Struthio camelus: one gene and its partners. The protein of the gene in region 1 purifies or fractionates together with the protein of each later gene. This does not show direct contact. Links are inferred from orthologs where the notes say so. Each region holds a gene or a part of one and is shown on either strand. Other genes may lie near its edges.

The links.
Region 2: the proteins of BAG2 (region 1) and EDRF1 purify together in Homo sapiens (affinity purification with mass spectrometry; 3 studies listed by BioGRID and IntAct, with this or other methods). This does not show direct contact. The link is inferred for Struthio camelus from reciprocal best matches to the Homo sapiens genes BAG2 and EDRF1.
Region 3: the proteins of BAG2 (region 1) and CEP170 purify together in Homo sapiens (affinity purification with mass spectrometry; 3 studies listed by BioGRID and IntAct, with this or other methods). This does not show direct contact. The link is inferred for Struthio camelus from reciprocal best matches to the Homo sapiens genes BAG2 and CEP170.
Region 4: the proteins of BAG2 (region 1) and HSF2 purify together in Homo sapiens (affinity purification with mass spectrometry; 4 studies listed by BioGRID and IntAct, with this or other methods). This does not show direct contact. The link is inferred for Struthio camelus from reciprocal best matches to the Homo sapiens genes BAG2 and HSF2.

What each region holds. Positions count from the first base shown.
Region 1 is NC_090944.1:36,126,990-36,134,074, forward strand, and holds the start of BAG2 (BAG family molecular chaperone regulator 2), read left to right. Parts: upstream 1-4,084; 5' UTR 4,085-4,300; coding exon 4,301-4,449; intron 4,450-7,085. UniProt on the Homo sapiens protein: Co-chaperone for HSP70 and HSC70 chaperone proteins. Acts as a nucleotide-exchange factor (NEF) promoting the release of ADP from the HSP70 and HSC70 proteins thereby triggering client/substrate protein release.
Region 2 is NC_090948.1:4,044,413-4,051,581, forward strand, and holds the start of EDRF1 (erythroid differentiation-related factor 1), read right to left. Parts: upstream 3,012-7,169; 5' UTR 2,914-3,011; coding exon 2,824-2,913; intron 2,106-2,823; coding exon 1,897-2,105; intron 469-1,896; coding exon 402-468; intron 1-401. UniProt on the Homo sapiens protein: Transcription factor involved in erythroid differentiation. Involved in transcriptional activation of the globin gene.
Region 3 is NC_090944.1:98,413,051-98,420,637, reverse strand, and holds the start of CEP170 (centrosomal protein of 170 kDa), read left to right. Parts: upstream 1-4,576; 5' UTR 4,577-4,778; intron 4,779-7,587. Other genes in the region: SDCCAG8 (serologically defined colon cancer antigen 8), read right to left, coding at 3,736-3,802.
Region 4 is NC_090944.1:66,929,640-66,937,532, reverse strand, and holds the start of HSF2 (heat shock factor protein 2), read right to left. Parts: upstream 3,014-7,893; 5' UTR 2,918-3,013; coding exon 2,750-2,917; intron 1-2,749. UniProt on the Homo sapiens protein: DNA-binding protein that specifically binds heat shock promoter elements (HSE) and activates transcription. In higher eukaryotes, HSF is unable to bind to the HSE unless the cells are heat shocked.

The DNA of each region.
Region 1 (7,085 bases):
TACTGTGAACTACTTGTCTTGCATCATAGTGATATATATTTGGGTGATGGAATAATTTTCTTAGCTCATCAAGATGTACAGAAATGACTACTAGTGGACCTATAGTGGTCACATCATTTAAGTCTTAAGACACCTCCGTGGTAGGTCAATCTGCTAAATATTATGTAACATGCAAACCTTTACTGAATCTTTACCAAATATGGTTAAGTTTATAGAGGTATGAAGTCACGCCATATTCTTTCTTAAAAGGAAAGTGTTCTATCATGTGCTTATGCTGTCCTAACAATGTTTACAATGACTGCTGAAAGTTGGAAGGAGGTGAGAAGGATGGATGATGAATTGTCTTTACAATAATTTAGAAAAATTGGCTGACATTAATGCAAAATCCTTTCTGGCAATTCTTTCCAGTTAAGTAGCAAGACTTAAATGCAGACTATTAAAATCTGCGTTTGCGTGTTTCTTTGACAATTCTAAACTGCCCCCAAGTTTTCTGCAGAAATTTTAATTCAAGAATTAGAGCTCAGTTTTAACATTGTGGGTCAAATAATATGATTCAACATACTGTAAACATGGGTGTAAACAAGCCAGAAAATTCATAGTAAGTGGCAAGTATGTGCAAAGTTTGTGCCCAAATGACAAAGTTCTGTGTGTGCAGAAATTTAAATGTAAAGTTCCCCTTGTAAATCTGTGCAAGTTTCTTTTCACTGACTCCAATATACTACTTTCTGGGAGTCTTCTAGTGGTTTTTGCTGAGAGCTCTTATCTAAAAGCTGCCTAGCATCCACAGCTGTAAAGAATTCACTGGGTCATTTGCTAAGCAATTTTCCTCTCCATGAGGAAAAGAACTACTCCATGCCCTGAAATGGTCGTACTGGCTTTTAGATTGATTCTGAGATAGAGGAATGAGGCTTCCAACAGCCTTGGGAGTGCAGGGCTTGCCTGCACAGTAAGATGATGGTAACGTGATGGGCAAACACAGTGCTAGTGTTAATTAGCGTTAGTAACAATAGCAGAAACAACACAGTAGCACAAGTTTGGCAGGTGCTAAGGGGCCAGTCTACTATAATACTAAGTACAGCTTTTGATAGAAAATCATACCCTAAAACTCATGTTGGCCCGTCTTTGCTGCTGTTGTACTGTGCTTGGGAGACTGAATGCTAGCTGTGGTTGGCTGCCCAAACCACAGCTGCATCCTCATGGTATGTACAGAAGTTGTGTTTCCACAATGCCTATGTACAAAGAAGATTCTCCAGATGAAGTTCCTGTAGAAGGGAAGAAAAGAATCCAACATGGCGTTTCTTGGGTGTGGACTTTCTCTTACATCCTATTCCATGGCAGCTCATAGGTAAGTGTTAGGGTATGTCACAAGGTATGGGGGGTTTGGAATAAGGTGAAACTGAAACTAAGATGGTATTTAGCAGTGTGACAAGTAGTACTGCTTTTGGTGTAGATCATCTGACTTTTACAAATGTCTTAGGTGTCCACGGCCTGGGAAGGTATATCTTTTTGCTACCATAAAAGATCTTGTGCGCATGAATGCGGATTCTCTGCCAGTCGCTCTGTTCTGCAAGGTGCGTGCATCTTTTATGATACCGCCATTTAAATGAGGGACAGCCAGCTACTTGGTCGCTGAGCCTGCAGTACAGAAGGCCTGAGATGCATACTTTCTCCATGTCAATCTCCCCATGGGTGCCTGCAGCTGGAGCAGGGCTGTGCAATCCAGCCGGGTGAACATAGCTGCAGACTAGACTAGGAGAGTGAGGTTGTCGCAGCAGCAGCAATCCTGACCCAGACATCACCTTTCTTTGCCACAAATCATAAGGAGGAGGATGAGATCCGTGCTGTTTCTGACAGAGCTACTCTTCCTCCTCCCGTTTTCTTGCAGCCCTGAAGGACCTAATTCTTGCCTTTTGTGTCCCCTAACTTCTTGTCCTAATTCAACTGTGAGTCACTTCCTTTCTCCAGAGACTTGACTACCATCTTGCTAGCCCAGCCACCTATTATTTCGGGAAAAGTGGTGACAACTGCTCCTTTATGTATCTCGGCAAGGAAGAAAGCACCTGAGGGAAAATAGGGGCAATCTACCCCCCTCTTGGGTAGGAAAAGCAGTTTTTGCAATCCTTTCTAGTTTTTAAATGGCAATTTATTCTCGACTGCACAGGCAGCAATGATGGGTGAGGTTTGTTTCAAACAACTATTTCTGCTTTTGAAACTCATTTTGCTTCCACTGTTTCAGCTCTTCTCAGTTCCTGGATGAAATGCTGTTTTGCCATCAAAAAAGACACAGTCATGTGTGATACAACTGCACACAACTAACAACCGTTGTGCCTCTTCATTTCATTGCACATTCTACCTTCAAAAATTTAAAACCCTGTACAAGGAAAAAAAATCTTTCTAACCATTTGGCTAGTAGCAATTTTGGTTTTTGCTTTTTAAACACGACCTAATTAATACTTCATAAATTAGCATGGGAGGAATAGAAGGATCCTAGGAAAAAAGTTTGCAATTTGTGTCACATTAGTCCCCATGTTTCTGTTTGTATATGTTTGGGGGTAGGAAGTAGTTTTTAATAATTTTCTGAATAAACTATAGTGAGATGGATTGAACAATCGCTGAACAATGAAATTATTTCTATGAGCTCACAGCCATAATCCTTACCTACCCAGCCATGTAAAAAAAAAACAAAATTCAGACAATTAATTTAGCAAGAGAAGTGGGACATGATATCATCTTGAACGGACAAGCCTGAGAAAATAGCTATAACCAGAGTAAGCATTCAAAACGTTATCCCTGTGCAATAAAAACCCTGTTAACTGGATGCCAAAAATTGGTCTGTTAGAGAACTGCAGTATTTGCCCAAACGTGAAATTAGGGATAAGCAAATTCCTTTTTAAATAATCACAGTAATGGCAAGTAAGAATTGCTGGAGCCAACAGGAATCTGCTGTACAGAAGTACAGGTTCAAGAAGTATAAAAGATTTCTTTCTGTGGCTTAAGTTTCCTAAGTTAGTATGATGTGCTCTTGTGAGACAGAAGTTATCTGGTTTATACAGAGAAGTTAAATATGATGTGGAAAAAGTCATTACAAAATGTAGATCCACTACCTTTGCCATCACAAAATAAGTTTTTTTTTTCTTTTGGCACAGCAAAAAACAAACAAACAAACAAACAATTTTCTTTCTAGTAAGCCTTTTTGTATTACCTTGGACAAAAACGTTTAGTAGAACTGTTTTCTCTTCTGTGGCTAACCAGATGACTTAGTGTCAGAAAGATGTACTGTATCGATGCAAGTATCTTAAGTATCTTTTTCAAGACTGCTGTTCAGGTTCTGTTTCTGCTTGTAGCAAGTGCTGTGGGTGCTTTACTCTCATCAACACTTTTTTTCTCCTTAAACAGGCTTCTGGATTTTCAAGGCACTTCTAGCCTTCCTCTTCTCATTTCTTCTTTACGCCTTCAGGAGTTTCATCTTTGTATTTCCAGCTGTCTCTTTTGATTGATATACATATATATATTTAATTAGAGAAAGACCAAACCGATCAACCATATACAATAGTCTTGGAAAGTAAACCCTCATACCATCTAGGTATCTAGGCTACCATCTAGGATCAGGTTAATATAGGTGTTAAAAACCTTACCCTTCCTTGGGCTCTGCTTTAGCGAGAGCCAAGGAAGGCGGGGCTGTGTCGGGGGGCCGCAGTGGCTCCCCAGTCCGCGGAAAACTGTCGGGGAAAAGCAGGGCTTCGGCAGCACTGCCCTGTGCTAGCGTAGGTGGTGACTGGGCAACGCTTTCAGACACCGGTGCAGCACGGCATGCAGGACAGCGTTTAGGTTTCGGGAGGGAAAACTCTTTTCTCTCTGCGGATTTAATTAAAACTCGTGACTTAGCTGTAGCTCCTTGATTCATCAATAAATTACAGCATGCGATAGCCTCCGCGTTTCTGCTGAATGCGCGATGTACGGAACAGGACCCGGCCAGGGGTGCGACACGCTCCTCGCCCCGGGGTTCCCGGGACGAGACGCCCCCTCCCCTCGGCCCGGCTCCTGCGGGGGGCCAGGGCGGGCCCGGGAGGCGGGGAGGGCGGGCGCCCGCCCGCGGCGCTGCGGGGCCGCCGAGGTGAGGCGAGGTCCGCGGCGCGCTGCGTGAGGCGGCGCCTCTGCGGCCGCGGAGGCGGGGTGGCCGCGGGGGCAGGCGGCGGGCGGGCTCCTTCTTTGGCCATGAGCGAGGTGCCGGCATTCGGCCGCCGCCGCCTGCGGGACGCGGGGAGGGAGCGGCCGCGCGGAGGAGCCGCCGGCGAGTGCTATGGCCCAGGCCAAGATCAGCGCCAAAGCCAGCGAGGGGGCGCAGCAGCAGCAATCCGGCGGGCAGCTCCGCGGCCGCTTCTACCGCTCCACCTCCATGGCGGACCGCTCCAGCCGCCTGCTCGAGAACCTGGACCAGCTGGAGCTCAGGTAGGCGGCCGTGGCGGGCCGCTCGGGGTGGCGACGTCCGGCTGCGCGGCCAGCCGAGGCGGCAGCCCCGGCCGGGCCGGGCCGTCCCCGCCGCCGCGGGACCCGGCTGGGGCCCCTCAGGATGCCGGCGTTGCAGCCGTTGGCGCCCCCCGCGAACCGTTGCGCCCCTCCCTCCTGGCGAGCCGTTGGCGCCCCCCGCGAGCCGTTGGCGCCCCTCCCTGCCCCGAGCCGTTGGCGCCCCTCACGAACCGTTGTGCCCCCTCCTCCCTCCCTCCCCCGAGCCGTTGGCGCCCCTCGCGAGCCGTTGCGCCCTCCCCCCGCAGCCGTTGGCGCCCCTCGCGAGCCGGGGAGGCGCCGGGAGGCCGCGGCCCGGACCGAGGGGCAGGTGGTCAGCTCGGGGCGGCGGAGGCGACGCTTTCTGCAATCATCAGTGCCGGAAAAAAGACCCCCCCCCCCGCCCCAAGGTTGAAAGTGACAGTTGGTGCTCGAAGGCGAACTAGCGCGGCCGGACGCTGGTCAGGGAAGGCGCAAAGCAGCCTGTTTTGTTTTGTTTTTCCGCGTGTTCCCCCGCCGAGCCCGGAGCTCGCTGCGCGAAGCCGCTCCGCCGCCCTGCGGCGTGGAGAGCCGGCGGCGCCGGGCGCTGTCGCTGGGGCCTCGGTGCCTCGCAGCAGCCTCCGAGCCGCCGCCGAGCGCTGGGAGGGCTCAGACCGCCCCGGAGCGCCGCTGCCTCGCCGGTCCGGGCGCTTGTTACCCAGGTCGGTGCCGGCCTTCCTGCTGAAATCCAGTAAATACCTGAGCTCTGACAGGAATAGCCATTCTGCAGCTTAATTGTGTGTGTGTGTGTGTGTTTCTTAATTAATTCCGAATATGATCGGTGTTTCATTGTTGTGTCAGGACGCGTCTTGCCTCCTCTTGTTATTTAGCGTTCCCCAAATAACCTATTTAAATTTTTTTCCCGTTTGGTCGTATAAGAGATGTTTCCATGCCTTTGATCAACTTCCTTGTCTTCTCAGCTCTCTCTTAATTATAGTGTCTTTTCTGAGGTGGATAGATCCAGTCGGTAATGTGAGCGTACCACTGATTCACCTAATGGCATTGAAATTTCAACACACCCTTTGTTCATTACAGCTGCATATTGATCAGAGGCTTTCGCAGAACCACCCATAATGTTTCTAGGTCTTTCCCAAGTTGCTGTAATTAAGAGCTCTGTGAGATACAGAACTTATGTTTTTCCTTTTCTATGCGCATTACTTAGCACATAAAGTTCACTCTTGATTAATGCAATCATATTATTCTTTCACGTAGGTTGATTAAATCTCTTTGAAGTTCTTCACAGACTTCTTTGGATTTGACTAACCAAAGTCACTGTCTGCAAACTTTTAGTCTCACTGCTGACGTCCTCATCCGGTGTGTGAATATATAATTACAAAATATTGTGCTAAATAAGCAGTAAAACTATGCCAAAATGTTTTTTTTTACATCTGCTGAGCAACTTAGTGCAATAAAACAGACACTGTGGTTAAGCAAAAATTAAACCCAAAATTAAAGTTTTCAGTTTGTTTTGGGTCTTTCAAAGAGGCACATTTCTAACTGCAAAACTCTTACAAAAAGAGTTAAACTATTCTGAATACAGTCAATTAAGTTTATTTTTGTGTTTTATTTATGTGTAAGTAATCAGCGTGCCTAATTTGAAAACCATGTGAATGGCAGGAGGAGGAGCTTCCATACTTCTTCTCCAATGTGTTTATTTTAGCTATAGTCCCTTGAGATGTTACTTGTAAATATAATAAGTGAAAATTTTGTCAAAGTGAACTATAGTCTTTAATTAACCCCTTTTACATTCCTCATTTGTCAAGTTGCTTAAGCTTGGCTGAACCCCTCAGCAACCCTCATTCCCTGAGTTTTCTGATCTTAAACAGCCTTCTCGTGTCTATGTTCCCATCCACCACGAGAACTTTTTTCCCAATGATAACAAGGTATTTTTGTCCCATATCTGCTGACCTGCTGGTACACCACTGTAGGGGTGTGTAGTAGACTCCCTCTAGGTGTTTGCAGAGTAGTTCTTATTTAAATCCCACTGGAAAGGGGGATTAATGTAATTGGAGTGGCATAGCCCTTATCTGGGAAGGAGGTAGCACTATACCAGTATAGCCGTACGTATGTGGCCATATAACCAGGAGCGTGCATTTCACAGCCTGGAGACAGTGACTGGAGAGGGGCTAAATCCCCTCAAACATTCTTTCTCTGTACATCAGTGCTTGGTTAATTTGCCCTCAGTCACGAGGAGCAAAGTATGACTTTTATTTGTAAGTGGAGAAACATATTTGAACAACGTATTAATTGCTGCTGTGATTTGAACAACAGTAGTGGAGAAACAGAACTGCAGAAGTGTTTGAGCGTGTCATTCTTCACCCCTGGATGGTTTCCCCGTTCACTCGCTGTGAGGACAAGCTCCCAGAGGTGGGAGGTAGCGAACTGAAATGAAGGTCAGAGGCAGAGGTATGGTCGTGCAGGACGAAGCTGCGTAGCTCTCAAGGAGTTAGTCCGACCCCACGAAGCGGCGGTGCAGGGCAGGTGGTATTGTGCTCAGCGTTTGTGTTGTTCCTAAAGGCTTGGCCCTTTCTGTTGCCCTGGCT
Region 2 (7,169 bases), on another chromosome or scaffold:
GTGGGAGGAAGTCTCTCTCTTCTACGTGAGAAGGCAAACAAATAACCCTAAGAGCAGCAACAATATGCATCAAATAACCAATTTCACAAACACAAGGCTGACCTACATTATAAATTGACACATCACATTCACTGACCTGCATATTTTAGCTAAAAATTATTTTTAAAATTTTAAACATTATTTTTAAAATTGCACTGGAATTATGTTTTTATCTATACTTCTTTTATTCAATGATCACAACTCCCTTAGACAACACAGCAAAAATTAGATCATTTGCTTGTACTTCATTAGGGCACTTTTCCTTTTCCTCAAAGGACACACAGGTCATTCTTTGACAGTGCCTTAACATAAGAGTTATACACCATAAATGTTTGAATCATGGAACTGAAAGTTATGCATACCTCTGAATCAGACACAACATCCACATCATTTCCAATTGAGTCAATGAAGTCATACGCCATTCCAAAGCTATTTAGAAAATATTACAAGTTAAGACATGAAGCGTGACATTAAAAATACAGCTACTTGTTCTCCAAGCATGCTCAGCTTCTGAAAGCATTTTCTTCATGAAAAACAGAACCTAGCTAAACATTACTAGCTCTAATGAGATCAGAAGTTAATTAACAAAATCATTTTGAAGTTCCACAAGTTCAGTAATACTGTTGGAATTATTTACATTCAAGTTCAAGACATTCCAAAAAGTAGGCTAAATTTTTTTTAGAAAAAGCTAAAGAAGTCAGAAAAAAATGAAGCTGTCTTAACATACACATTAACAGAGGAGCTGGGTTCTACAAAATGCCTTCCTCTCCCCTCCATTTTTTTTAGTAAAAAGTAGTAAGTCAGTTTTGAAAAGTTTCTCTCTTTAAAGATTTAAGCATGCTTTATTCCTGAATTTTGTCAGCTGTGGTTTTATTTTGCTTCTGTATAATGTTTTTTTTCCTCCTGTTTTCAACACAGGAACTTGGCTTACATATTTTAACAAACATATCCTTATTTCTTTATCTGCCCTTATTAATGCCTCTCTAAATTACGAGCTATTTAAATTGGACTATTTCAATAGTCAATATTGTTCTTTCAAATTAAACCAGGAATTACCATAACATAATAAAATACATGATATATAAATGTCTGAATTCATACCCTCACTCTTAGGTTTTAATATTGCCACTAGAGACAGAGAGAACAAACTGCCTCTATTGGACAAACAAACACAGTATTTAAAAATTAATAAAGCCTGTAGGAAAAACATGTGGGCGCACTCAAAAATGCACGTCACCTAAAATCAGTTAGGAGGATTTAAACACGGATCTCCTGCACACTATTGATTTTCACTAACGAGTTGACTTAGTATGACTTTGCTTGCTCAGGACAGAAGCTAAATCTCCTGTCTAGAAACACTCTGAACTCACCTCATCCAACTAGTTAACAAACATCCCTACAGAAAGATAGCATTGCTTTTTAGTTTTACCACTTATTTTAATTCCCTTGCATATTCTTGACAGGACTATGAAGTTTCTTTTTCTATTAGTTAGCCAGTTCTGATTTCTAAAGATTAAAACCAGGCTAGCTGAACCAGTCTGGTTTGATTTTGACCAACTGACAGGCAGCCAATCACAGATCAATAGGAAGTCAGTTTGACTGTCTCATGCAAGGTGTGTCAACATGCATTTGACAAAAAATCCATCGGCATTACTAGCATCCTTAATCATCTATAAAGGAGAGAAGACAGCACACAGGAAAGAACCAAGGAAGAAAAAGAAGGGGGAGAGTGGTGAAGTAAGACATATTTACAATGACAAAAAGTATGTACAATACTTTGAATTACAGGGGTCCAAGTTCACTGTTAAATTTATTCTTAAGAGTTTGGGAAAAAATAATAGAGCCTGATGCATTTACCTTGAGAAGGGTTTACTTTTCTTGTTGTTGCCAAGAATGGTTGTACCTGCCGGTCCTAGCTTAGCGCTTTCACGTAACCAATTTGCAGGTGGGAGTTTCAAATCGGTCTTCTCTTGAAGACGGGCAAACGCCGCTTGCGGGGGGGCAGACGAGTATTTCACCACAGCACTGCTTTTTACCTCATTACCTCCGAGAAACAACAGCGACCCCTAGTTTTCAAAGAAAAATCAGCCCTTCATTTATGTAATGCACAAGTTAAAGCTATCAGATTTGGTTTTTGCGTCTGTTCACCTCCAGTGAAGGTGAGCCGTTTCTCAAAGGCAAGCAGCCGAGCTCGCAGCTTCGCTCCTCCGCCCTTCGCGCACGCCCGCCGACGTTGAGCCCCGACTCACCTCAACCCCACGCCGGCGAGCGGGAGCGAGGTCAGCGGAGCTGCCCGCCGAGCTCAGCCGGAGGCCAACACGCCGCTCGCCCTACGGCCGCAGAGGCGCCGCTTGACCGCCCGCAGCGCCGAGGCTGCCGCACGGGCCAACCTCCCCGCCCCGCCTCTCCCCGCCAGCGCGGAGCCACCCGCCGCTGCCTCCCTGACGCGACCAGCTCCGACCCGACGCACCTCCAGGGGAAAACGGATCGGCGGGCCGCCACCGGAGCGAGCACGCCGTACTTACAACGCAACAATAAAAACACTGTTTATAATTACCGCTTAATCATAACTAGCGCGCTCTGTGCCATACTTCAGCCCTGACAATAACGCTCCTTATGGAGGAGGAATACCTATCAGGCAACTTCAAACGCTCCTCTGGGCTGCCTTTACGGCACGGGCCCTCGGTGCGCTCCGCGCCGCGGGCCGCCCCCCGGCCTAGCGCAGGGCCCGAGGCGGGGCAGCGCCGCAGCGGCGGCCGCCTCGCCTCGCCTCCCCTCCGGTACCTGCTTAGGCTCCTCCGCGTCTCCTCTCGGCGAGGCAGCGGCCCCCGCGGCGGCGGTGGCGGCAGCCCCGGCTGCGCAGGTCTCCTCCATTTTCCGCCCGCCTCGCGGCGCCAGCGCGGGCGGCGGCCGGAGCCGGGCGGGCCCCGGCGGGGGGAGGCTGCGTCTGGCCGGGCCCGCGAGGGGCGGCAGGCCGCTCTCAGCGCCCGCGGGGGCAGGGGAGGGGCGCGCCGGCACAGCCACCTCTCGCGCGCTTTCCCGCGAAGTCCCAGGAGGCGCTGGGGGCGGGGCCTTAACGGGGGCTGGCCAATAGGAGAAGGGCGGTGGGTTGGGTTTGATGGAGGGGCGTGGCTTTAGCGGGGATTGGCCAATAGGAGAAGGGCGGTGGGTTGGGCTTGCGGGAGGGGTGGGGCTGTAGCGGGCGCTGGCCAATAGGGAAAGGGCGGTGGGTGGGGTGCGAGGGCGGGAGCGCTGAGGGCCGGGCGTTGTCGCCCGCCGCCCCTCGCTCTCTTCGTAGCTGCCCGCCCGGTTTCGCGGGCAGCGCGCGGCTCTGCCGGCCCAAGGGCGGCTCCCTCGAGGTAGGGCTGAGCGGGGGCAGGTGGTCCCGGCGGGGCCGCGCGAGCTGCGCCATCAGCGGCCGCCCCGTCCCGTCCCGCCCCGCGGGCGCCTTCCCGCGTGGCTGAGGTGTTGCTGCGCTGCCTCGCCCCTACCTTGGAGAAGCACGTACCCGTGTTAGATGAGATCCTGGAGCAGGCCAGGAGGGCTCACTGACCTGATCCTCTAGTCAGGAAATCATGCAAAAGCTGGCTGGCTATCAAGATCTTCCTGAGCTGAACGTACAGCAACTGAGCATGGTCTGCCATGGTTTCTTTATGGGGCCAGTTCCTATCCAGTCACTGATTCTCATGAAGTTTGTGTTAACTGCCTTTGAAATTATTTATTTCTTTCAGGACTGAAAGCGTCCTGTAGATTTGAAAATTATTAGGTGGCCTGGCAGAAAGTACAGTTGCGCAAGCCTTGTTTCCCTTGCCAACCAAGCTAAAATATTCTAATCTTGCATAATTTCACTAACATAAAGCATATCCTTTACCAATAACAATATTGAAAGTGTAGCAATACACATTGGTATGAAAATAGATGTATACAATCTAAAAAAAGCATGACACTATTTTAAAGCAGTTTTAGTCCAACTTTTATTACATTGGATCTTTGCCTACAGCCACTGCAGACTTTGGCCAAACTCTTAATTCAGTTATTTCTTGCTTGCGGTCCTTTGGAATCCTTTTATCATGTTAGGAAGGGATCTTTCTAAGTCTGATCCTTAAACTTTTTTTCAGTTTTGTTCATATCTCAGTGGAAAACAGCGGTAAATACAAAACAGTGTTGCAGTCCTTCAGGACAAAAAAAAAGAGAATCTATAATGTAATACTTTTAAAGCAAAAGCAGTGTCTGTTTGAGTTTGCAAGAATAGATCCCAGGTTATTGAATCTGAAAATAGGTAAAATGGAATAAAAGCAAATCATAGGTTCCTCCTGCCTGCCATGCTCTTTATTGTCCTTCTCTAGTTCTTTCTGTCATCGACTTCCCCTGTCTGAAGAATAATATGAGTTATCTTCATAGCCTTCTGAGCTGATCCTGGCACATTTAGACATCAGTACAGTTCATCATACTCAAGGCTAAGATGACAATACAGTGACAAAACTGTTTCAAAATAGGCAGCTAGTTTACAGTTTGAGGGGTTTTTTTCTTAACTAAAACTACATTCTCTGGAACAGCTTATTTTTCATATGCAAGTTTTATATCAGCTTCTGTAAATCATGATAAAAGTAGTTTATCCAAGTCATTTACCTCCTGTTGTACTTGAAGGTAACTTATGGTATGGCATCATTAATAACAACAGCATCCAAACCATTGCTCTTCCATGTATTACCAAAACTTCCAACAGATATCTACAGGAACAAAGTAGGTCATTTAGAAGAAAGCCTTGAAAAACGCCTTGAAAGACTGCCTGATGACAGCTTGTACTCTGAAATATCATTACTTCTGTCTGATAGTTAGTAAGATGGAAAACTAGAGTATGTTCTCACGCAGGAGCTTTGAAATTTCCTTTAAAACAAATGCTTGTGGTTGTCTGAATCGTTAATATTTAACTGATATAAGTACTGTATTTTTTCTTGTTTGATTTACCAGCTATAGTGTTTGATTCCCACTTAAATTAGCCTTGAATATTTATAGAGTGGAAAACAGGCCTATGCCATTTGCCATGCAAGCATCATTCTCTGGCTAGACTGTCAAGGCTCAGGAGGCAAAGACTTGGTTTGTGCTTGAATTAGGGTGAAGTTCAGTCTTGCCTACAGCTCGTTACACTTAAAGCAATGGCTTTGTCTCTCCATGCCTCAGCTTTTCTTTCTGTGAAATACATGAAACTGTACATTCTCCACTTTCCCAGCCATTAAAAAAAAATTGTTACAAAATACTGTATGTAAAAAAATGGCTGCCATATGCATCTTTGTCCACAATATGAATTAACAGACCAAGGAGTTTTCTGACCAACAGGCACATGGCGCAGTGCAAATTGTCTCCACGCTCCAAAGCTGTCTGCCTCCAAACAGGGTATCCGCTTCCGAACTGCCTAATAGGTTTCCCTGAACCATACCCAGCATCATCTCCGCAGTGCTTGCTGGCAGGGAGCATGCTAAGGGCATGTTTCTGCTTATATAGTGCAAGACTAAAGTCACCATATTCATTATTTATGTAGCTGTATTAAGTATCACTGTAGTTTCCATAGAATCTTTTTTTAGCCTTAATTACTTTTATATTATTTACCAATCTAATTCAGTCTAGCACAGTCTAGCTACTGTGCATTTCATATTATGTGAATTCTTTATATTCCAATGACTAACAAATAGCTCTGACATTCAGGGGTAGGGTAAGGATTGCTTAGGGAAGCTGTACACCAAGCAAAATATTTGGAGGGGGAAAAGTACAGTTTGGGATTTAAGAATTCTGGATTATTTCGTGGTTTTACCCCAAACTATTACTAATTTTGAACAAGAACCTTAAGGGGAAGTTTTGCGACTAATCAGGGTAAATAAGGGTGTCAGGATCTAGCACTTATATATATTTCAGCTCATTATCCTGAGGGAGACAGGGATATCCCTTTTGTATTACCACAAAGGTACTGTCTTTGGCATTTTGGGGGTATCTTTACCCAGAAGTATAATTTTCTAATAAAAAGTGCTATTTTAAGCCAAGGTTTTCTTTTTAACGCTAGGATTAAAGGGCAGAAGCATAATATGATTCCATACTTTTTGCAGAGGTGGAATTAAAATCAGAGGCAATATGCTAATTATATCTTAAGCCATCTCTGATGGAGTTGGGTCTTAGAGCTATTAAAGTAAGGACAGTTTTTTTAAGGAGCTGGAGTAGTTGCTGGAGAGTAAATTGTTTTACCATATCAACAGTTCTTTCTCCACACTTTCAGCAATACTAGCCCATACAGCTGTATACAAGGAAACCAATTTTTACAGCTGATAGCACAGAATTACAAGCTAATTTAGTAAGTCAAAAACAGATTGTATACAGTAATGAAAGACTGTTACATTTGACTATAATGTATAGAATTATATGCATCACAATTTTAATTTTATGAAATTTAATGAATTAAAAGATTCATTCTATCAAAATCACTAAGACAAAATTTAAGATTTGTATTTATGTTATTCATATACTTTAAATAAATTTGCATTCTTAAAAATGAAGATGAGAATTTAATGATGAGAATTTAATTTGTAGGGGACAACATTCTCAAGTTAGAAAGAAATGGGAAATATTTAAAGAAATCTTTTAAAACAGTTAAACAATGAATACAACATTCCACACTCACACATAAGAGAGTTGTTACATTCTAACGTCAGAGAGGCAGTAATCACTCTTGATGCATGATGATAATAATAGCTATCACCAAGCCATTAAACCTGCTAATGTTATTCTCATAGCACAGAAGTGCAGGTATCTGTTTGCCTAGATTTAACTACATGTGAAAAAAACAACAATCAAACCCCCTGTCTTTGTCCATATTAACATGAGGGGTAATTACAGTCTTAATTGAATGCTTTTATAGTAATTATTTTAAGATACAGTGGTAGTAGGTGCTAAGTATTTCCTTCCTACGAAGCAAAACACTATGCAGATGCCTATCACCTTACCAAGGTGGCACAGCCAGCTCTCAGTTTTATGTTGTGATACTGTTCTTCTTAAACTCCTGGAGTTAATGCTGTTTTTGACCCACTTTCCTTTGTTCCTCTCCTATTTATAGACTGAAACTTACACACACAAGTGCTACAGGT
Region 3 (7,587 bases), about 62 Mb from region 1:
GTTGTTACTTCATCAGAAACCTCTCCGTTGACCTCCAAGTCCAGTTATGTCTTGGTCAGGTTTTCTGGTCTCACTTTCTGTCCTCTGGCCACCTGATTAAGTTTCCTGGATTCTAGTGCACACTTGGGGATCCTGTGTAATAGTCCTCCGAGGGATCTCTCTTTACAGCAAAGGACACTGCCTCAAAGAGCAAACGCTATTCTCTGAGAACTTAAATAGCCTTCCACCTCAATGAACAAGGCCACAAAATTATTCTTCTGATCTCCAGAAAGAATGGAGAGAACCTGTTGCTATGTCTCAGCCAGACATAGGTCAAGCATGACAAGCAGTTTAAGAATGCTGCATGTCAAAAATATCAATTAATGCTGCAGGCATGCTGTCTAAAATTGCAGAATCTGGATTGGAATTATAAGAATTTGTAGAAAAGTCTCAAACTGCATAATTATGCATGAAACATGGGTAAAGAATTAGGTTCGGCAACTCATGAAGTAATAATGATCTTTACTGACATTCGGTAAATCAACTACTGCTAGCGCTAACGACGTGAAGAATGTTTTTCGGGTCAAAGGAGTTAAAAATTGTACACCACTGAGAAACAAAGAGGTTGGCTGAGAAACATAATGGAATCCATGTTACATTCCCCGCACTGGGATTATGTTTGCATATTACCCTATTGATCTCCACCTACTGAGAAGCACTCCTGGATCTATGGAGTTGGTCCTATCTTTATACCGCATGGGAAAAGGCAGAGGTCCACATTTCCCAGAATGGTGCGGAAACTGAAGGGAAACAGCCACCAGAAGCTCAAATGTTCCAAAGTGATTTAAAAACCATAATGGATCCAATGTAAGGGAATCTAGTCAAAAACAGGAAAAATGGAAAGTGGTATGAAGAGAATACATGCATGCCTTCATTTGATATGAGGAGCTTTAATATCACTCTTGCACACAGTTAAACAGGCCAAGATGCAACATCCTTGAGAAAGGCCCTTTGAACTCACAGGAAAGTTAAAGAAGTCATTGACAACATCCAGATAACTTGGTACAAAGACATGCTTCAACTCCATATATCAAAAGGCTACATAACTATGAAGATATGAATATGACACTCCCCTATCACCTCAACAGGTTTTCTAGTTGAGAAAAAGAGAGATTCCCTTGGATCACTCAAAATGCACAACAAAGGACCTAAGAGAAAAGACAATATTCAGACTCTGTTGCAAAATGTAACAAAGAATATTTTCAAAATAAGACTAGTCTGAATAAAGGAATGAACTAAGAAGTCCTTACCAAGCTACTCATACACAGAAAAAAACATTTATATAAAGAAATATTGAGCACCCTGAAATTAGCCTGAATAGGCTTAGAGTCCAAAGGCCTTTGGCTTCCACTGCTGTCAGTCTCTAAGAAAGCCATGAACATCACATCCTGTAGGGGCTCCAGGCAGCAAAACGTAACCGCTGGATGACCATAACTACAAGGACGGATACTGAGCACAGCACGCTGCCTGGGCACTCTGGAACTAAAGGACACCAACAAATCTCCTTATATGAACACGAACAAAGGAAATCTGCCTTTCTCACTGCCTGTATGCAACCCTTTGGACTTACCAGAGATGCAAAAGACCATCATGGACTGGCCTGCAACTAAAATGAAAAGGTAGGTCACCCTCCTAGGCTATCACAGAACAAGAACAACAATTCAGAAGATGTTTCAGTAAAAGCGTATGTATCTCCTTCTGAGATCTGTATAAAAACAAGTAAACAATCCAGAAAAAGTATTCTAGATAATCAGAAGTGCTCTGAAAATAGGCAAAAATCTTGTTAAAACCACACATTTTCAGCACATTACTTACTTCAGCTTGTACTTATGCCTCTAGTAATGCAGGAGAAATGAACAAAAGAAAACAAAAACCCCAAGCGCGGCCTTTCTAAACAAAGCTATCCCTCTATGCATGACAGTACTCTGTAATAAAGCAGAGACATTATGCCACCAGATGATTTTTTTAAGCAGCAATACTGTAGTTGTTCGACTGTAGTTTTTTTTAAAAAACCTGAATAATCAGTCCATCTGGTTTCATCACAGTCTAAAGGAATGGACTCTAATTATATGCAGAGTTTAATCCTCAAAGAATTTGACAGAAAATCAGTCATATCATAGGAACAATAAAAAGTCAGAGCAAAAACCCTTTGCCTCAGTCCAAACTGAGCATTTGAAAATTATCCAGTGGTTTTCCATACTGGCCCACAGAAAAAGGAAATGTGATAAAGTTCAAAGATTAACTGTGCCTATGCATGGCAAGTCATAACTTTTACTCATCATTTTTACATAGCACAAAGGGACTCTACACATTTCAATACATGTTCCAATCTCTGTACTTCTAACTGTTCTATCTGTAGCTTCCAAGCAACATCTGTATGACCCATTTATACTCCTGGAAAAGTAACTAGAGACAATTCTTCAAAGCTGTATCTTCTGGAACAAAGCAAGATCCATCCTCAGTACAAACAACTGATGCTATTTTGAGAGAGTAAGGTGAAGTATTTGCTAAGAATAAAGTATCAAGTGGCTATTAAAAAATATTTCCATTGTTTTATCTTCTTGCAATAATGTTTCCTATATTGCAATTGTTCATGTAATTCACTAGCATCAGAAAACAAATTAGATTTATTTTCATTATCTTTAAATGCTGTTTAATAAAACATGAATTCAGGATGTGTTGATCTGGAACACAATATTTTTAATGCTAAGCAGGGTGGCATATCCACAGATTATCTTTTGGCTTTCTTCAGGATTTGGTTACATACTTTTACCAGTCAGAGGTAGTCTGAAAGCTTGTAACGCTCAGCTGTCATAGCAAAGAGGGGAAAAATGTTCTCTGCATATATAGTGCTTCTTGGATAAGAAGGCAGGTATGAATACAGTTTATGATGTGGGAATGATCACGCTCATAAGAATCATTTTTCTGCCTCTTCTTTATGACTAGAATTTTACACTTCAGTGAAAGCTAAGATCTGTGCACAAATCAAAGAAAAGCACACAAAACAGGCAGCAGCCCCATTAACGCCAAGGTTATGATCAGACAACTACTTCGGCTAGTATTAACTATATTTAAGGTGTGATATCTGACCGTTTACTTTAGCAGTCTGTTGCAACGCAAAATAAACCAAGACTATTTTTGTTGCAGTGGACCAGCAGAGTGCTCATGGTCAAGCAGCACCAGGGGCACTACAACTTGTTAAAGAGAACTAATGCAATCACACATGTAATCACATGACCCTACCTTATAGTTTGCCAGACACTGTATTTTTAGGTTCGTTCTGATTTTTATAGAAGTTCCAACTCCCCAAAGCACTTTTGGGAAGAAGAGAACAACAACAAGCTAGCCAGTCACACTTTAATTGGCTTCAAACTGCAGAAGCTCGAAGCACACGGGCTGTAGGTCTAATTTGGGGTTAAAGCGCACTGATTAAATAAAAGGCGGGGGAAGGGGGGGGATACGAGCACGGCTGACATGTTCTCACAAGTTCGAGTCAGGCCGTTGTACAGATGCGCTTTTACAGGGAAAACAAATTCTCACTCCGATATAATGTTGCTCTAGCCAGAGGTCCGGTTTAAGGAGCACCAGAAGAGCTAACTCGGCTCCTGCCACAAGTACGCCAAGAGCACGGCACGGCGCTGCCCCAGCCGAGCCGGGCCGGGACCCCCCCGCCCTGCCGCGGCGGCCCCCGCTCACCTCGGAGGCGCCTCTGGTACCGCTCCAGGGACTCTTGCAGGGCGGGCTCCCCCCGGGGCGCCCGCATGAGGAGACCCGTCCCTGCCGGACACCGCAGCCGCCGGCGGGGCTCCACTACAGGGGAAGCGCGTGGGAACCACCAGGCGATGCCCCGCCACACCGGCACCCCGCAACGGCGACCGGTAACGGTAGTTCGAGCCGCTCCGCTTTCCCGCGCGCCACAAGCGCCGGAGGCTCCCGGAAGAACTACAACTCCCACAATGCGCAAGGGGGACACGCTCCGCTTCCTCCGCGTTGTCCGTTGCTACCCGCGAACGGCCTCCCCCAGCCAGAGCGGAGCGTAGCAACGGTCGGGCCCCGCCACGCCCCCGAGCTACGCGGCGTGAGGCAAGGCCGTCAGAGAAACTACAAGTCCCAGCAGGCGGCGCGGCGCGCGGTGCTCCCTGGGAGGTGTAGTCTCTGCTGGCCGCCCACCTCCCCCACCCGGCAGCGGGCGGTGGGCAATCTCACACCCTGCTTTCCTCTTTGTTGTGGCTTGCGGCCGCGTTCGCGCCTGCGCACAAGGGCGCTCTTCCGCCTACGTTCTCGGGTCCGCAGTGGCTGGGTATAGCGCAGGTCCAGTCGTGCCAGAGGGGACGGGGCGGGGGGGGGGGGGAAGCTGTGTTTACCTCCCGCCACCGCGTACTCTGGCGCTTGCGCAGTGAGCGCCCGCCAGGCGGCGCGGAGAGTGCAATCACCCTCCTATTGTCTGAAGCTGGCGCAGGCGCAGCTCGGTCGCTGCGCCGCTCGTCCCTTGACGCCTGCGCGCTGGCCTCCCCCCACCCCCCCCCCATTGTGTGCGTTCGGGCGGCGCCTGCGCAGTGCCGTGCCCCGCTCTGCCCGTTAGCCGCTATGTGCAGGGAATAACGTTAGGGCGGTTGCTACAGGGACACCGAGCGGAGCGCCCCGCCCCCGCCCCGCGGGGATGCCGGGTCAGTGAGCACCGGCGGCTGCGGCGGCACCAGGGACGGCCCCTCCCCGTCGCGGCGAGCCTCCGAGAAGGGGTGAGTGGGGAGGGGGGTGCTGCCGCCCTGGCTGCGGGTCGGGTGCGAGCCGTGCCGGAGGGGGGCCGGGGTCGCGCCGCTTGCCCGCCATCCGCCCGCTGCCTATTGTGTCAGGCGCCGCGCCGGGGGGCTGCGCCCGGCCGAAGGGCGGTAGCGGACGGCCCCCCCCTCCTCCTCCTCCCCGTCGTGCCCGCTGCGGTCCCCCACCCCCTCGCCAGCGCGGCGGGGCCGGCGGGGGGCTGCCGCCGCGCCGAGCCCGTAGGGGAGCGGCGCAGATTGGATGCAGATGGTGCCGCCGGATGCCGGTGCCCGCAGCCGCCGGCCCGTTGCCGCCCCGCCGCCGCCGTGGGGCCCGGCCGGCCGCCCCCGCCGCCGGCACACACCCAGCCCACCCGGCCGGCTGCGGGCACCGCGGCTCTTCAGGCTGCCTCCCTCCCTCCCCCGCCGGCGGATTTCCGCGTCTCGAGGAGACCTTTTCAGCTGTTTGTTTGTTCATTTATTTATTTATTTATTCCGGTCACTCCTATTTCAAAAACTGCCCCGTGGCTGGAGAGGGTGTGTTTCTCCAGATTTAAAAATGACCGATAACTGTTCGTTTGACATGCAGTGTTCCCGCCGCCGCCCCCTTGAAATAACGATGTTGGAGCGGGATGATGGAGAAGATCTGTTGGTTTTGCCATCTCTCTTACTGTGTGTTTCCACCCAACAAAGAGGGTCTTTTACGTTCCATAACACTCTCCCGAATGCTCGATCTTTCCATTCTTGAGACTCTTCCCGCAGGAAACGTAGAATAACCTTCCCCCCCCCCCCAATCTCCGCCTCTCCCTGGTGGTGGAAGAAAAGTGCTGGGCTCACTTTTGTCTCTTTGGCCTGGAAACGAACGGGTTACGGATCTAACAAAAACCCGATGGCGGTTTTCAAATATAAAGCGTTTGGTAGAGGAGGAAGCTGGCTTCGGGGCGGCTCGGCGGCGGCGCCCTCCGCCCTGGCCGCCCGCGCACACGCCGCCGCGGCCGGATGCCGCCGGCCCTGCGGGCGGGGGGAAGGAGTAGCCTCCTCCAGATCGCTTTTGGGCGCGTTTGGCGTTCACCGGCAGCAGGCAGAGGTGACCGTGCATCTCTCGCAAGCCCGGCTGGAGAAACGCCAGCTGGATGAAGCGCGGATGATGGCCGTTCGGTGTCATAATTATGTATACGAGCCGGGAGGAGCTCGCGGTGACAAGAGTGTTGATGGTGTTGTGCTAGTTGCCAGCCTTTTAGACGTTATTTTAAACGTTTTTAAGATGAGCCGACAATTACTCCATCTGTTCTTACTGTTTTATGAAAAAATGGAGATGTAGTTGCTGTGCTGATGAATTGAAGATAAGAGTTGCGTTCTTGTGACAACCTAGATAAGAGGTTACAGATAGCACGCGCTGATCAGCCCTTTGAAGAAATTATTTTCTTCTCAGTGAAAGCAAAGGTGTTCATGAAGTATTTGATTTATTTGAAAGAATAAAGCCTGTTCCTGGCGCTATGATGAACCCCCCCCCCCGCCATGGAGTGCTGTTCAAGGCTTTGTGACAGTGAAAAATGGTGTGTGGGACAGGACGATTTTTGTAAACTGAACTAGTATGTGATTAAATATGCTGTGATTTCCTATGATTAATTTCCTCTGGGAATTATTTTCTGTCCAGATGTTGAGGAGTATGTCTTACTGGAACTGAGCTCTGTAGGTATGAAAGATCCTAAACTTTACTTAACAAAGGGCTGAGAGGGAAGGTTGAACATAAATACGTTTAAGAATCTCCCTTCCCTTTTTGATTTTCCAAATACTTTTCAGTTTATATACACGTATTTGTTTTCTTTTCTCTCTGAAAGAGGTCAGGAAGACTGCCTAAATGGAGAGAAAAGAATAGCTGAGTATACACAGAATTTTGTCAAAAGCAAGCCATAAGACTTTTTTTTCCCCTCTAACTTATGAACTATCTAAAAGGCATTTGTAATGAATCGGATAAAAATATTTCCTTTTCTACATTTAGAGAGAAGTATTTTGACATGAAAGTTGTTACTGAACTTACCTTATCTTGGTGCTGCATTTTCTTTGACATCTGTGCCGGCTATCCTGCAGGTGACTCCCTCCTGTATCAAATCAGGCTGGGTTTTGCAAATTAGAATAGGTTCTGTATTGGGCTTCATAAGCTGTAATAGGCCTGGCAGGAAGGTATTTTTTAACAATTCTCTTGATAACATACAGTCCAGAAAAGAGTTGCATTCTTGAAATTGAACTAGAGAAGTCTATGTTTACTTGCAGATGGGAACTAGGAAGCTTCCTTGAGCAACTGGAATAAAGCCTAAACCATGAATAGCTGCAGAAATTGATTTTGAGGTACAATTTCCAGTTCTTGCAAACGCAGGTAAAATGTAATAATGTAAGCTGATATCGTAGTATCTCCTTGAATCTCTACACAAAGACTATTTCCTTGTGGCAGCTGTCCTTCTTAGCTTTGGCAAGCAGAATTAAGTGGAGGTGAAACAGATTATTTTTACTTTGTTATTCAGGAAGCCAAGGATATCTGTGGAAATTTTACTTTTGCTTAAGAAAAACTTAACAGAGGAGACAGGCATTGAATATATTCAAATATCAGAACTTGTAGAAATTCTTGTATTTGCTTCTAACATTTGTGGGGTGTTTTTTTTTTTAACAAAAAAAAAAAACCAACAACAATGGCATGCACTTCCCCCTCTTTGAAGAACTTGGTGTATGATTAGTAAAAACTGGTATGGTAGCGACCAGGAGACTGTTTGGAATTTGAGAAAAGAAAGTTCTT
Region 4 (7,893 bases), about 31 Mb from region 1:
CCCATGGACAACGCTCACCTGTTGCTCCACTAAGACAGGGGAGAAACCTAGGTTTAGCTATCTGGTAAAGATATAGATGTGTTTAGAACATTGTAAGGATAAACACTGTCTGAAACCACAGTTATTATTATTGTAAGTGTACTGTTCCCTTACAGTTACATTTACATTACTGTACTCTGTAACCCACAATACTGATATATTCAAAAAGATGCAATCACTTGTATACCAAGTTATCCAAATACCTTTCTCCCATACCAGAACTGTTGAAGCCTGATAACATCTGCTGTGATTAGCAGATCTTGCTTCTGCAAACTGCCTCAGTCTCCAACAATGCCACAGTCTTTACTTTTAACAATACAGAGACACCTAACAATGGCCTTGGCCTGCTTTCCTGAGGTAAGTATATACAATGAATCTAAAATGGAAAATGAAGCATCCACTAAATATCTTGCGTGTTGAAAACAGCATTTGTTAAACTAGAGCGCATCTGAACCTTTATAAACACCCTTAGCATCCCTCCTCCAGGAGGGGGGAAAAAAACAAAACTAAAAGGCACTAAAAGTAAAGCTGCTGTCATCTAGCTACACTCCATTTAATCTCTGAAAAGTTCTGGCTGAAGTTACTGATAACTCAATACCCGCAAAAAGTTTAAGAAGATATTTTAGATATTTTTATCATTGCTTGAGCACTTAAAATAGTCTCAGGTGAAAGATGCCATCTCAATACGCATTGAGAACATCTATACAGTTTAAGAGTGGAGGCAGAAGTCTCAAAAAAAAAAAAAGTACAGGAAAAATACCTCAGATATAGTAAAACATGGTTATATCAAAGAATTGCTTACCATTTCATCACAAAAGGGTTAATGATGTTTACCGAACCAAAGTAGCCAGCTCTTCCCTACACTGTAAGAAGATGGTTACTTCCTGCCTCCCAATATTTTAAGATACTTAAAAATCAAGTTACTTTGCACTCTGATAATGTTGTTTTATTATTTGCTGCAATGGCCTCCATTTTAATATAACAGAGTCAAGATAAAAAGGATGTCCAACTCGTTCTTTTTTTTTTTTAAATAATCAATCTAAACACATACAAATCAACACGGTCACTATATAAATTTAATCTGCAGTTCCTAGGGAAAGCATTTAAGTTATTGTAAAAAAAAAAAAAAAAAGGAACAAAAACAGAAGTACATCAGCTCTTGTTTGCCTCCCCTGCCATCACCACTGCTGGTACCTAATATGGTTTTTTTTCAGAAAGATGCACGTGATCTAGCACCTGTACACCACTCCCCAGCAAAAACTTATGACCACCTTTGCAAGTTGCCCAACCCTAGGGCCGTAAATACAAGCTTGCTGGCGGCGAGGGAAGGCGCAAAGCGCGCACTGCCCGCCCAGAGGGGCAACAGGCAGCCCGGGCGCAACGGCCGCTGCCCGCCCCACGTGACCGGCGCGCCCCACGTGCTCAGCTGCCCGCCAATGAGCGCGGGCTCCGCTCCCGGCCGGCCGGCCATGCCACATGCTGCCGCCGCCGCTAGTACCTGGCGGCAGGGGTAAGGATGCGCTAAGGCACATGGCAGGCAGCTGTCTTACTTGGGAGGGCGTAGGGAGCACACCACGCGGATCTGCAGAAACCACTGACCTCGCCATACCTTCTTCTTACGCTGCGAGAACTGAACTGGTTTTATATGGGAAAGGGAAAGCACTATCCTTCGTGTTTTATAATACAGCAACTGTAAATATCCCTTATTTTCTGATTTTCTGGCTGTCCTTACGTACAGACTTACAATCCCCGTTAGACAATTACCCACTTCACGAAAAACAGGCCTACTTATGAACTTATTAATGAAAAGTCCCACCCGAGTTCTATATTACCACTATTATAGCTTAAAAAAACACAAAACAAAACAAACCACCAACAACAAAACCTTACACCACCTAACACCGGACCGTGAAACAAAACCACTCCGAGATCCCCGTCCTCTATTACACAGCCCCCCCTCACAGCTCAGAGCCACCCTCAGAGCACCCCAGAGGGTGCAGGAGGCCCCTTGAAAGCTCCAAGCCTGGCGAGTCGGAGCAGGCAAACAGGTCCCTTCTTAGCAGCCAGCCGACCACGCACTGCTTTTAACCGGGGGGGCGTGGGGGGGGGAAGGGAAAGAGAAGCAAGAGACCCGTCCCCCTTGCAGCCAGGGGCGTTTATACAACACGCGGTATCTACAGCCTAGAAAGGGGCAGCCCTTGAGGGCCCCACCAGGGAACGTGGCCTCCCTCCAGCAGCCACCGGGTCTGCGAGAGCCGCGGCGGCCCAGCCACCCCCCCCCCCCCGGCGCAGGAAGCCCGGCGGGGCCACACGGCGAGGCCGGGGTGGTAGTGGGAGGGGGGCGATCTCCCGCCCGGCGGAGGGCTTGGCGAAAGCCAGACCAAGCCAAGCGGGCGCGCCCGCTTTTTTTTTTTTTTTTCCGTTCTCCTTACGTGCGCCGAGACCCGCGCAGGGCGGCCCCCCGCCGCGGGCTCCGATGCCCGCCCGGCCTGCCCTCCCCTTCCCTGAGGGGGGGGGAAGTTCGGGGGGGGGGGGGAAGGGCAGCCTACCCCTCTCACCCCGCCGCGGGAAGCGGGGGCCGCCGCCCGGCCCAACGCCGCCTGCGGGGCGGTGGCGCCCCTCTCCCCCCCCACCCCTCCCCCAGCCGCAGACGCGGCGCGCGCGGGGGCGCAGCGGCCCCAACGGCCGCGGCTCGCGCGCCGCCGCACACCTGGTTCCAGGTGATGAGCTGGTTGCTAGGGGCCTCGCCCACCAGCGCCCACAGCTTGCTGAGGAAAGCCGGGACCCCCGCGCTGGCGGAGGGTGGCTGCTGCTGCGCCTGTTGTTGTTGTTGTTGTTGTTGTTGCTGCTGCTGCTGCTGCTGTTGCTGCTGCTTCATTGTCGCTCGGGAGCCTCCTCGGTCTGGAAGGGGGAGGGGCGGAGAAGGAGGAGAACCAACGCGACCTTCCCTCCGCCCCCTCGCTCGCCCCGTGCGCGCGCGCATGCGCCTCGGCCGCCCGCCGCATGCGCACCGGCCCGCCGCACGTGCGCGCGCTCGTGCATGCCTGCGCCAGCTTCCCCGCCCCTTTCTCCCCCTTCCCCCTCCCCTCCCCGCCCCTTACATAACGGGCCCACGTGCACCGCCCTCACGTGTCACAACAGCGCCCGGCGCGCAGGAGAGCCGGAGGAGACATGCAAATGAGCCAGGGGCCACGGCCAATCGGGGCGCGGCCCTCTGCTCGGGGCGGCAGGGGGGAGCCGCGGGGCCGGGGCCGCTCTCCGGCGTGCCGAGTGCTGCAGCGCTCCTGGAGGGGTGGTGTCACGCCTCGTAACGTGGGGCAAGAGAACGTTTTGAGTGGAAGCACCTGGAAACAATTGTTTTTTAAAAACCTATGTCGCCCCTCCACATACACACCCCCCCCTCCCCCTCCCCCCACTTCTTCTACAAACCAGAGCGTGTTTGCACGTGGCAAGGAGAGCTCATCCTGCAAGGGCCACGCGGGTCTGGCTCACTAAGGGACAGAGCACCTGCAGAGCAGATGCAGAGCTTGGCTCCTGCCTTAGGCTCATGTACAGCAGCAATACATTTAGAAGAAATAGAAATTAAAATGATAATACAGATAAGGTGACAGAAGCTGAGCCTACCTTAGCAAGATGACTAGAAACAGAGCAGTCGTGCAGCGAGTCCCCTGATTGTTTCCATTTATTGCATGCTGGTACACTTCTCAAAGAGATTTTGGTGTTCATAACCTGGGTTCCTTTCACAGGAAAGGAAACCAAATCTGTTCAAATCCCTTCTCCCAAAGCCACATGAGGACCACAGGGCCCTCCTCCAACAGGTACTTAGGGGTTCAAGAGGCAGGGGTGCTGTGTGCTGAGACCTTCCCGCCCTGCTGTGGTTCACATGCAATATAGCTAGCTAGCCAGCCAGCCTTGGGCACACTTCTCTTTACCTACCCTTGCCTGCCAGCCTCCTGTATTGCAACAGTGATCTATCTATTTGCTGTTCCTCACACACTTCTGGTTTGAAATCTCTTCTTTAAGACAGGCAAGACATGACACCAGTAGAGCAGCTTATTTCTCCTACTCCTTTTCAGGCCTGTTATTTCTCAAGTCTTTTCTGTTATGTTGATTAGTAGCTCTTCCACTTCCAGGAAGTTCAGAGCAGTGCAACCTGGGGCCAGGAGAAGTGGCACACCTTACGAGGCTAGAGAGTCTCTCTACTGGCAGGAGCATGAAGTCGCTCATGTGATGTCTGCCACCAAGTGTGAGAGGACAGGTGCACCACTGCATTGCGTCAAGGTTATGAAGATGAAGGCAGCATTCTTGAAGACCTGGAGTAATAACTGCAGTTGTGGGTGGCATGGCACATTACAGGGTGCCTGAAGAAGTCTTTGGATTGGGAGTTTGCCACTCAGGCAGCAACTCACTGTGACTGTAGGTCACTACACAGGAGAATTTGGAGGAGCACACGCGCTCCACTTTTGCATCTCTGACTCCACACAGGCACATCTAGGACACCTCTTCAGACCACTGTCCACCACCGCCAACCTCAGCATCCCCCCATGCTAGAGCTCCTACTTCCAACCCTACTAAGGCTAAGGCCTTTCCAAAATGGTCTCTATGGTGAAAGTGCAGAGGGCAGGTGTACAAATCTCCTGAAAAGACTGCTCAGAGCTGCACAAAAGCAATGTATTTTGGCAGTCTAACCAGAGGGGCCCCTGTACTTTAAAAGATACTCCTTTGAGCCCATGAGCTACGGGAGAAATCTGCACAGCAACTACCTGTGTCAAAACCCTAATGCCAGGCTCCAGTGCGGAAAACTTCAAGTACCTAGCTCAATCCCAGCAAATCTTGCATGAGGCAGGACCTGATGATATAGCCCTTTCCTTTCCTTAAAATTAGCTGTTATAAGATTATGAAGTAATCGTGACACCATATAAAATAACATTGCAGATCCAATCACTATCCCACAACCACAAGAACGATAATGCGAGGAGGCTGTCCTGGAGGGAGCGTTGCAGTTCTCAGGAGCAATGTGATATTTTGGATAAAGAGGAGGGAGACTAGGATAAAAAGACTTCTCAGTGGTGTTGACATCAGGTTTTGGCCCACCTGCAGACTGGCAGCAAGAGGCTGGAGTAGCAGCTGCTAAAGGGATCCAGAGCCATCAAACCTGCTCTGAGGCCCATGTTGGAAAGCAGCTGTAGGAACATTTGGAAGAAGCTCAGCTTGGTGCAACAGCAGGAGCTCAGCAGCATCTGACAGCCAGTACGCATCAGCCTAGACAAAGATGGCCAGGGAAGACAATCAGATATCCAAAAAAAGGGTGACGGAACAAATGAAGCAGAAAAGACTTAAGGAGATACAGGGGAACATGAAGAAACCTTTCTTATATGGTGAGGAAAAGGAACACCACATATTTCAGGAAGCTCATCTTTTTTAGTGCTCACACGTGGATATTTCATGGAAAGGCACATTATCCTTCCCCCTGCCATTCAATCCACTTGAAGAGATGCAGCATGTTTGCAGCCTTCAGAAAGAAAGGAAGTAACATAAGCACAATCCTTGCTGTCCCAAACACTTGCAGAGAGCTGCACATCACTTGCTACAGAAACTGGTCCCTGTTGTTCCAGTCTGTATGGAAAGGCCTTCCTGTATCCTCAGACAGGTCATGCAGGACAAAGCAGGCAACCATAATTCAAAGGGTACTAGGAGCGTCAGTATCAAGCCTGGTGCTCAGGGTTCATCCTCTGTCAATAGAGGACCAGACATAACTTCTACCTCCACCCTGCATATAGGAAGAGCATTGTCAATGTCAGAAGATGCAGCAACACAGGAGGTCTGCCACAGCTCTCTGATGGTGCAGACGGATACGTACCCAAACACGTCAAACAAACCTGTCCCTTCTTGTAAAGGAAGGGCCATTATCTTCAGAGATGCCAAGGTGAGACTTACAGGTGTCATGAGTCCTTTTGATAAAGCCTACTAAGATGTCCATAAATATCCCTTAACAGCCCAACAAAACATGCAAGACAAGGAGCAGCAGCCCTTTCTATATAGTGTCTGGCATACAGTGGCCGTGACTATCAACATCGATTGTGCGAGACAGGTTAAGGACAGCACAGTGCTTCTTTGGAGGACCTTCATTTGAAGCAAGAGATTATGTGATTCCTTCCCTTCAGAAAGCACTGAACAACATGTGTAGACTGCATCTGAAGCACCATCATCCTTGCACAAAACGTACCAGACATGAAGAAGCCTCAACACTGTCTACTCTGATCTACTGTTCCACTTCCATTTTGACAAGTTACTAGCTATGTCTAAATTACACCTATATTAGCAAGAGACAGTCGCCTCCTCTGCTATGTTAAAAACTGCTAATGATTGTAACAAACAAACATCTAGCTCAAACTAACTTTGAGTTCAAGTTCCTCAATTTCTGATGACATTTTCACTTGAAATAATTCAAGCACAAAATTATCCAGCTTTTCAAAGTACACCAATTTAAACCATCACTTCTGCTACCACTTTGCCCTCAATCTGTTCTCACCTGTGACTGGAATCCACAGAGGAGAGAGAAGGTTAGCAAGGTCTAAGGGGCCAGTTTACAGGTGCACAGGGCATGGTCTTCTACCCACTCCTACATTATCAGGAAGCTCTATTTCATTAGAAAGGCTAAGAAATAGCTAGTTAGCTGAAAAACACGGGCACGTATATGTTGTTTAATTTGTTAGGTACATGATCTAAGAAAAAGAACATAATATAAGCATATGCACAACAAAAACACTCGGACTGATTCTCAAGAATAAAGTCAGGCAGTCCTAAGGGGATCTCTTTCCAAGGCAAATAATGTTTAGACTTCAGACCTATTAGCTATTGAGTCACTTAGGAGAAACCGATTCAAATAGCAAGGAGATCAAGGAAAACTGCCAGCCTAATGAATGGTAAGAATACAGTAAAAATTAATCTCCGACAAAGTAGGCTGAACAACTTCAAAAGCATCTTTAATGAAATTCGTGCTTTAAGAAGCTATTTTACAGAACTAAACTAGCATGTTCCCAACAATATGAATGCTTCACAAATGGTTCACAATTTTCACAGCAAATGACAGTGTTATTCATGTTTTGCTTTGTTGAGACACATTGCAAAACAGCAAACTGAACCTTAAAGTCTTCCTGCAAGAGATGATGTCAACTTGCTCTAAGAACATACAGTATGCAAAGCACAATGGCACAGAAAAAAAGATATCGAGAAGTATTAGTCTGGTAATTTGCAGGAAAATAAGTTGAAGTATTTCAATTTCAAGACGCATTATACAGTTGTTCCCCCCCCTTCCCCCCCCCCCCAAAAAACAAACATTAGTGGGCTACAGCATTCTGTAACAAACTAATTGTCATTCATTAGATCATTCCTGGGAAGAGATACTACAGGTAAATTTATGGCTTAGCCTGTGCTAGTAGAGCTTGCCAGTTTTTAATCTGGAGCTGTTTCACTTCCCAATATCTTCACAAACAGTGCTATCCATCATCTTTTTCTGCTCTGCAATAAAGTTTTCCTCCACTCAATTTGCAGAAAGCTGACAACGATCTCAGTTCCGAGATAGATCAAGCTATTTACATCTTTCACAATACTGTTCTCACTCTCCCTTCACCAGAAGGGCATCATAACACTGTAAAACTGGGCATCATGAAATTTGAAGAATTTGGGGGAACTCTCCCCATCCCTTCACTAACCCCTGAAGCCCCAGCAGATTTCATATTCCAACAAAAGGTGGTACTAAGGCTTAGGAGGTATTGTTATTGCCAGGCACATGGGATCTTTTTCTGTTCCTCCCGAACCTCACGTGCCCTTCCCAGACCCACACTTGTTGGG